Linked DNA regions of Arabidopsis thaliana. The protein of the gene in region 2 interacts with the protein of the main gene of each other region in a pairwise test. Each region holds a gene or a part of one and is shown on either strand. Other genes may lie near its edges.

Region 1 (3,754 bases), 4.5 Mb from region 2:
GGTAAAATAAATTAAAACATTCTGTATTCTTTTACCTGGTTCTTGAACTGTAATTGTGTGAAGAAGCCATGAGTTTTGAATTGGTTTGATGCAGGGCGTGGACGTGGACGTGGAAGGGGAGGACGTGGAAGAGGAGGAGGACGTGGTGGTGATGGTGGTTTCAACAACAGATCAGATGGACCACCAGTCCAGGCAGCTGCTTGAGAGTGAGGTTTCTCTTACACAAACATAAAAAGAAGAAAAAAGCCCAAGTCGTTGGATGTTTTTTTTCTATCTCCTTGTTCTCTCACTTTCTTTCTATGTTTGCTTCTTCTGTCCATCAAGAAGACATGTTTGCCATAAGTGTATCTCATTCCCCTTCTTTTTTTTTTACTATCCATTGATTGACAGTGTTTTAGCTTGTGGTCTGTTTTGTTTAGAGTCGCTTAGGAATATATGTTCAATTTATTTTATGGTTGGTCGTCGTCTTGGGTTTTTGTTAGAGAAGAACTACTGAGGCATCCTCTTTTCTTTTCTTTTTTCCTCTGTTTTGTAGTTTTGTTTAGGTGAGAGTGAGACACAGTTTGGACAAATTACCTCTTTTCTTTGGTTATCAGTTTTAATGTGATGGAACAGTTGATTCTTTTATTTCCAACAAGTACCCTTGCAAAGTTGAATTCTTATATAACATTATAACGAAAATAACTCACAAATGGAAGCAGATTTACACAGAGAGAGAAAAAAAATGGAAGTAGAAAGCCAGAAACCATCGATTCTCGAATTTGGGTTGATCTTCAAAATTCTAATGAGACAGACACAACAAAGGAAAGGAAGCTCATAGACTCGTCGACACCGTATTAACAATAGATTTACTCGATAAAAAAATGTTAGCGCCGTTGCCGGGGATCGAACCCGGGTCACCCGCGTGACAGGCGGGAATACTTACCACTATACTACAACGACTTTGATGTTCTAATTAATGACATTAATAGTATTAACAAACAAGATAATATCTGCCTTCAAGGGAAAGAAAAAAATAAAATGGAAAAATATAATTGGGAAAAATGTTGTTTTATATACGAACTTTCAAAAAGTGGCCATTTTATACGTGAACTCTGACGTCGGCCAAAATAAATATGAAAAATACGTTGACCAGCCATTTTAACAGAAACAAAACGTTGACCTGGCCAAAATCCCGAGACGTTAACTCGCATTAACAGACCCAATTAACCCCGTTAACAGCACGTTAATAAACTCTGTTAAAGCCGAAACGGTGTCGTTTTGTTCTAAACGAAACAAAACAAAATCCCCAAATCGAAAACTCAAACCCTAAGTCTTCATCTTCCCCAAATCGATTTCTTATATCCAACTTCTCTCAATCTATCTTCTTTGAGCTTCAACTCCGACAGAAGACTCTGCTACAACAACAGCCGGCAAAGCTAGAACTCCACCATCAAACTCCATCTCCGGTTTCAGCTACTCGTCGTGGTGGAACAGGAGCAATGTCGACTTCGCCTTCTATTGCTAAGGCAATCACAACAAGATTAATCGAAGAACAAACACGATTTTACCAATGAGAGAATTAGGGATTTGGTTTGAGAGAATTAGGGATTGAGTTTTCGATTTGGGCATTTTGATTTGTTTCGTTAGGTTTGAAACGACGGCGTTTTGGTCTTAACAGAATTCATTAACGTTCTCTTAACGGGGTTAATCAGCGAGTTAACGTCTCGGGATTTTGGCGAGGTCAACATTTTGTTTCTGTTAAAATGGCTGGTCAACGTATTTTTCATGTTTATTTTGGCCGACGTCAGAGTTCACGTATAGAATAGCTACTTTTTGAAAGTTCGCGTATAAAACAACATTTTTCCCAAATATAATTTGGTAATTTCTGTCTAGGAAAAGAAAAAGGAAAACATAAGAGTACTTATGTGTGCGTTAAGCCCTGCTCTTTTCAAATCAATTTTTAATTTACCTTCGTCAAGAAGAAGACGACTTGAGATTTGCGAAAAAGATGACTCAGGACGTAGAGATGAAAGATAACCAAACCCCAACGCAATCCGTCGTCTCTGCTCCTACCTCCACGCTACAGAGTAAATCTCTATCTTATGCTTCAGTTTCTCTTAATCTCACATTGCTAGGTTTGTTTCAAAATTGAATTCGTTGTACTGCTTTTTTTTTTCTCCAGATTTGAAGGAGATTGCAGCTCTGATTGATACTGGATCTTATACAAAGGAAGTCCGTCGTATTGCTCGTGCTGTGCGTCTCACCGTTGGACTACGAAGGAAGCTCACGGGTTCCGTGATCTCTTCTTTCCTTGATTTCGCTTTGGTTCCTGGATCTGAAGCTCACACTCGTCTCTCTTCTTTTGTGCCGAAGGTATGTGTAGCTTCACTTGTCCACTTTGATTACGAGCTTATCTAGGATCTGTAATTAGATTCATGTATTAGTGTTTGCCCTTAATTTGATGGAATTTATAATATTGGTACAGAGTGATGAACATGACATGGAAGTTGATACAGCATCATCGAATTCCCAAGCTCCTCCTAAGCATCTACCTGCAGAGCTCGAGATTTACTGCTACTTCATTGTTCTTCTTTTTCTCATTGATCAGAAAAAGTACAACGAGGTTTACTTCTTCTCTATCTCTCTAACTGACATACTTTATTTATAAATCTTGCTGTGGTCTTCATTGTTTTACTTTCTTTGCTTTCAGGCCAAAGTTTGTTCTACCGCTAGCATTGCTCGCCTCAAAAGCGTAAACAGGAGAACCGTTGATGTCATTGCTTCCAAATTGTATTTTTACTACTCCTTAAGTTACGAGCTAACTAATGATCTTGCAGAGATACGTAGGTGAGTACAAGTTCACAGTCATCTTTCAACTTTTATCATATTAGTTCAACACTCAATTATCTTATTAACTTGTCTCTCTTTCTGTTGCAGTACTCTTCTTGCTCTTCACCATTCGGCCACACTGCGCCACGACGAATTGGGCCAGGAAACACTTTTGAATCTGTTGCTTCGCAATTATCTACACTACAACCTGTACGACCAAGCAGAGAAGTTGAGATCAAAAGCGCCTCGATTTGAGGCACACTCTAACCAACAGGTAACCCTTTCATACATTCTAGTTTCTAATTCTAAGTTAATTGTGATGCTTACTTATGCCAACCTCTCTGATGCTTACTAATGCCAACTTTTCACTGTGAATTTCTCCAAACTACATTCACATGTTTCAACTAGAAACGATACTCATCTCGTTATATAAATTTACAGTTTTGTAGGTACTTGTTTTACCTTGGCAAGATCAGGACGATTCAACTTGAGTACACCGATGCAAAAGAGAGTCTCCTCCAAGCTGCTAGGAAAGCACCTGTTGCATCTCTGGGATTCAGAATCCAGTGCAACAAGTGGGCTATCATAGTTCGGCTGTTGTTGGGTGAAATACCTGAACGATCTATCTTCACTCAGAAAGGAATGGAGAAGACTCTTAGGCCATATTTTGAGCTGACCAACGTGAGTTCAATCTTTTTTACATTTCTAACATATGCTTTAATTAAGGTTTTCTTGCTAATACTCTTGTTTAAATTTTGTAAGGCTGTGAGAATTGGTGACTTGGAGCTGTTCGGGAAAATCCAAGAGAAGTTTGCCAAAACATTTGCGGAAGACAGGACTCACAACCTCATAGTCAGACTCCGACACAACGTGATCAGAACAGGACTGCGCAACATCAGCATTTCCTACTCCAGAATCTCTCTACAGGATGTTGCTCAAAAGC
Region 2 (3,754 bases):
TATGACTAGTTACGACCGAGCCAAAGATTGGGTTCGTAAGAATGTCACTCGTTATAACTTCGATGGTGGTGTCAATATCACGTGAGTTTGTCTCTCTTCCTCTCTGTTCTGTCTCAATGTTATTGTTATTGATTGGTTGTAGTGTTTGTCTAAACGTCAAAATTAACATTCTTTGTGTTTGTTTGTCGAAACCTCATAAACCCATGGTTGTTTAGTTTATGACATTGCCAAATGCATAACCATGAGTGAGTTATGTCTATAGACAAAATGTGTCTAGCTATATATGTTTGTTTCTGAAGATTGGATGTTTAGGGTTGATTTTCAATGTCTGGTGAAATCTGTGTTGTCTGATTATGAAATCAAATATCTTTTAACACTACTGTCAAATGCAGAACCTGTTTCCACTAAAATGTATTTATATCTATAAAAGTCAAATCTTTTAACAGTACTGTCAAAATGCAGAACATGTTTAGAGAAAAATGTGTTTACATGTCTCAGTGAAGCTAATCACTTGTGGATGTGTTTCAGGTTTGTAGCTGTTGGGAATGAGCCATTCCTCAAATCATACAATGGATCGTTCATAAACCTCACATTCCCTGCACTTGCGAACATTCAAAACGCTTTAAATGAAGCCGGACTAGGAAACTCTGTCAAAGCAACAGTCCCTTTAAACGCGGATGTATACGATTCACCAGCAAGCAATCCCGTTCCATCTGCAGGAAGATTCCGTCCCGATATCATCGGTCAAATGACTCAGATTGTTGACTTTCTTGGCAAGAACAATGCTCCCATCACAATTAACATCTACCCTTTCTTAAGTCTCTATGGGAATGATGATTTCCCACTCAACTACGCCTTCTTCGATGGTGCTGAACCGATAAACGACAACGGTATTGATTATACAAACGTTTTCGATGCCAATTTCGATACTTTGGTGTCGTCTTTGAAAGCTGTTGGTCACGGAGATATGCCAATAATCGTTGGAGAAGTTGGTTGGCCAACAGAGGGTGACAAACACGCTAATGCAGGTTGATATCTGACCTTCTTTAGATGGATTTTTATCCTTTATGAAGTGTTTTAGTTTTGATTTTGAAAACGGTTTTTTCACAGGCAGTGCTTACAGATTCTACAACGGGCTTTTACCGAGGCTTGGAACAAACAAAGGAACTCCATTGAGACCAACCTACATTGAGGTATACTTGTTCGGATTACTCGACGAGGATGCAAAAAGTATAGCACCGGGACCGTTCGAACGCCATTGGGGAATATTTAAATTCGACGGGCAACCAAAGTTTCCTATAGATCTTTCAGGTCAAGGACAGAGTAAGTTCTTGATTGGTGCACAAAACGTGCCGTATCTACCCAACAAGTGGTGTACGTTTAATCCAGAAGCCAAGGACTTGACAAAACTCGCGGCTAATATAGATTACGCCTGCACTTTCTCTGATTGCACGGCGCTTGGATACGGATCTTCTTGCAATACTCTTGATGCAAATGGAAACGCGTCGTATGCGTTTAACATGTTCTTTCAAGTGAAGAATCAAGATGAGAGTGCTTGCTATTTTCAAGGTTTGGCCACCATTACAACGCAGAATATATCTCAAGGACAATGCAATTTCCCTATTCAGATTGTGGCTTCCTCAGCCTCTTCTTTTTCTTGTTCGTCTTATTCTTTGGTTGTGTTGATCGTTTGGTTTCTGTTATCAGGGATGATGTTTTGAGGTTAGATTGAATTTGTTGAACTTAGTGAGGTTTTGTGAGCCTAATTGTTTTCTTACAGATATATATATTACAATGATTCTTTTGTCCATGTTCTTAGAAGTTGAATCCTAGATAAATCGGAATATCCAGATACTTGTTCTATCGATATTTTAATACAGTTTTACACTACAGTTTTATTTTACAAATTCATTAATGTTACAATTTCTTTTAGCAATTAAAAAATAAATAGAAAACCATCAAATTTTACAAATTCACAAAAAGGAAAACACGGTCGAACCGGTTCTATACAAAAAGAAAAAACCTTCCCTTTATTATTTGCTTCTTCTCTTAAGAAAAACAAAAGTTCGCTTACTCTCTCGTTAAAGCTCTCAGAGAGGTTAGGGTTTCATCATTATCAATTCCATGCTTTTGCAATAATAACTTGGAAAATTTTATCGAGTTTTCGTCTTCCTCTTCTTCTTCTTAGGTTATCTCGATCTGGTTGGTTCCTTTAACAATCTGTAACTATGGCGGCAGAACCGAAGGCAGCGACTGCTGAAGTAGTAAAGATGGATCTGTTTGAGGACGACGATGAGTTCGAGGAATTTGAAATTAACGAAGGTAAAATTTTTGTTGTTATTACTTGTTTCTTCTTCGATTTTTGAATCGATTCATCATCGGTTTTATAGTCTTAACGATGAAGCTACGATGCCATAGATATAAGAGCGATTTTCATTAGCAACTGATTGATAGATACAGGCAATGCTTTATATGGTTGAATTGAGAATTATTTGTATGAATTGTATCAGATTCTGATTTTAATAGATTTTGATTTGCAAGTTAGTTGATTCTTCAGATTTAACTAGTAGTTGTATTGAAAGGATTGATAAAGATGGACTAGTGTATGAGTTGAGTAGGTCTGATATGAAAACGAATCTGTTTGATGTCAATTTCAGGTGTGAGATAGGTTGATAGATCTTTTTTCATATAGTTCTAACAATGAAGCTATAGTCTCATACTTACTAAATGGATAAAAGAGCAGTTTTTTTCAGCAACTTATTGATGATTAGGTTTAGTCTTAATAGTCAACGCTTCATTTACTAAAGCCTAAAGGTTATTGAGGATTTGGGAATTATTTGAGGGCATTGAGTAGCCTAAAGGTTTAACAGATTTTGCTTTGTGATTTTACTAATAGTTTTATTGAAAGAATTGATAAAGAGGGTTTCTGTTTGTATGAGTTGTGTAGTTGGATGTGGAATGGATGTTTTTGCTGTCCTTTTACGGTCAAAGTAAATACTGATGGATCTTTTTATGTTGGGCAGATTGGTTGGAGAAAGAAGAAGTGAAGGAAGTTAGCCAGCAGTGGGAAGATGACTGGGATGATGATGATGTCAATGACGACTTCTCACGTCAGTTAAGGAAGGAGCTTGAGAATGGTACTGACAAGAAATAAGGTCGAAGATTGTGAAAGACAGGTCTTCACATTTAGGAAATCTTGGTTTTCTTTTATGATCTGGAACTTTGTTTGTACTGCATCCTTTGGTTTATGTTATCGGTTCTGCTTTTCCTTTGCACATTTTACTATTCCCTGGATGGAAATTTCTTATCTTTGAAGATGATAAATTTAAACTGGTAAGATCATCATCTTCTCTCAACATCCATTGCGGTGTGTTCCGTATGGACATGGATTAGTTACTAACTTACTATGTACATTTTCTTACAAGGATCTTTATTAGAGCGTAAACGGTATTTGAAATGCCAAAAATCCTTCAAACTATGTATTGAGATGCACTAGAAATGCAATCCTTTAGTAAACACAAATGAGAAATAAAAGGGGAGAGACCCGTAAACATCACAAAATAACTGTAGAGATCACATTCACAAAGACATAATTACTGTACTTCACAAGAAAGAAACAAGGGAACACACACTCTTGTGTCTTTCTAATACTCATCGCCTTCTTCGTCGTCGTCCTCCGCTCCTTCTCCACCAACTTCCTCATAATCTTTCTCGAGGGCAGCAAGATCCTCACGAGCCTCAGAGAACTCTCCTT

Evidence for each region. Proteins that work in one complex are often made in the same cells at the same time.
Region 1: the proteins of DSS1(I) (region 2) and AT1G75990 interact in a two-hybrid assay, tested with the Arabidopsis thaliana proteins (one study listed by BioGRID).

Annotation. Positions count from the first base shown.
Region 1 is NC_003070.9:28,524,955-28,528,708, reverse strand, and holds the start of AT1G75990 (PAM domain (PCI/PINT associated module) protein), read left to right. Parts: upstream 1-1,860; 5' UTR 1,861-1,990; coding exon 1,991-2,069; intron 2,070-2,164; coding exon 2,165-2,355; intron 2,356-2,467; coding exon 2,468-2,605; intron 2,606-2,692; coding exon 2,693-2,829; intron 2,830-2,919; coding exon 2,920-3,085; intron 3,086-3,252; coding exon 3,253-3,492; intron 3,493-3,573; coding exon 3,574-3,754. Other genes in the region: AT1G76010 (Alba DNA/RNA-binding protein), read left to right, coding at 1-1, 95-204. UniProt on the Arabidopsis thaliana protein: Acts as a regulatory subunit of the 26 proteasome which is involved in the ATP-dependent degradation of ubiquitinated proteins.
Region 2 is NC_003070.9:24,052,187-24,055,940, reverse strand, and holds DSS1(I) (deletion of SUV3 suppressor 1(I)), read left to right. Parts: upstream 1-2,032; 5' UTR 2,033-2,098; exon of another isoform or gene 2,099-2,188; 5' UTR 2,189-2,228; coding exon 2,229-2,322; intron 2,323-2,545; coding exon 2,546-2,668; intron 2,669-3,023; coding exon 3,024-3,154; 3' UTR 3,155-3,579; downstream 3,580-3,754. Other genes in the region: AT1G64760 (O-Glycosyl hydrolases family 17 protein), read left to right, coding at 1-81, 529-1,028, 1,111-1,721; TUA1 (alpha-1 tubulin), read right to left, coding at 3,645-3,754. UniProt on the Arabidopsis thaliana protein: Subunit of the 26S proteasome which plays a role in ubiquitin-dependent proteolysis.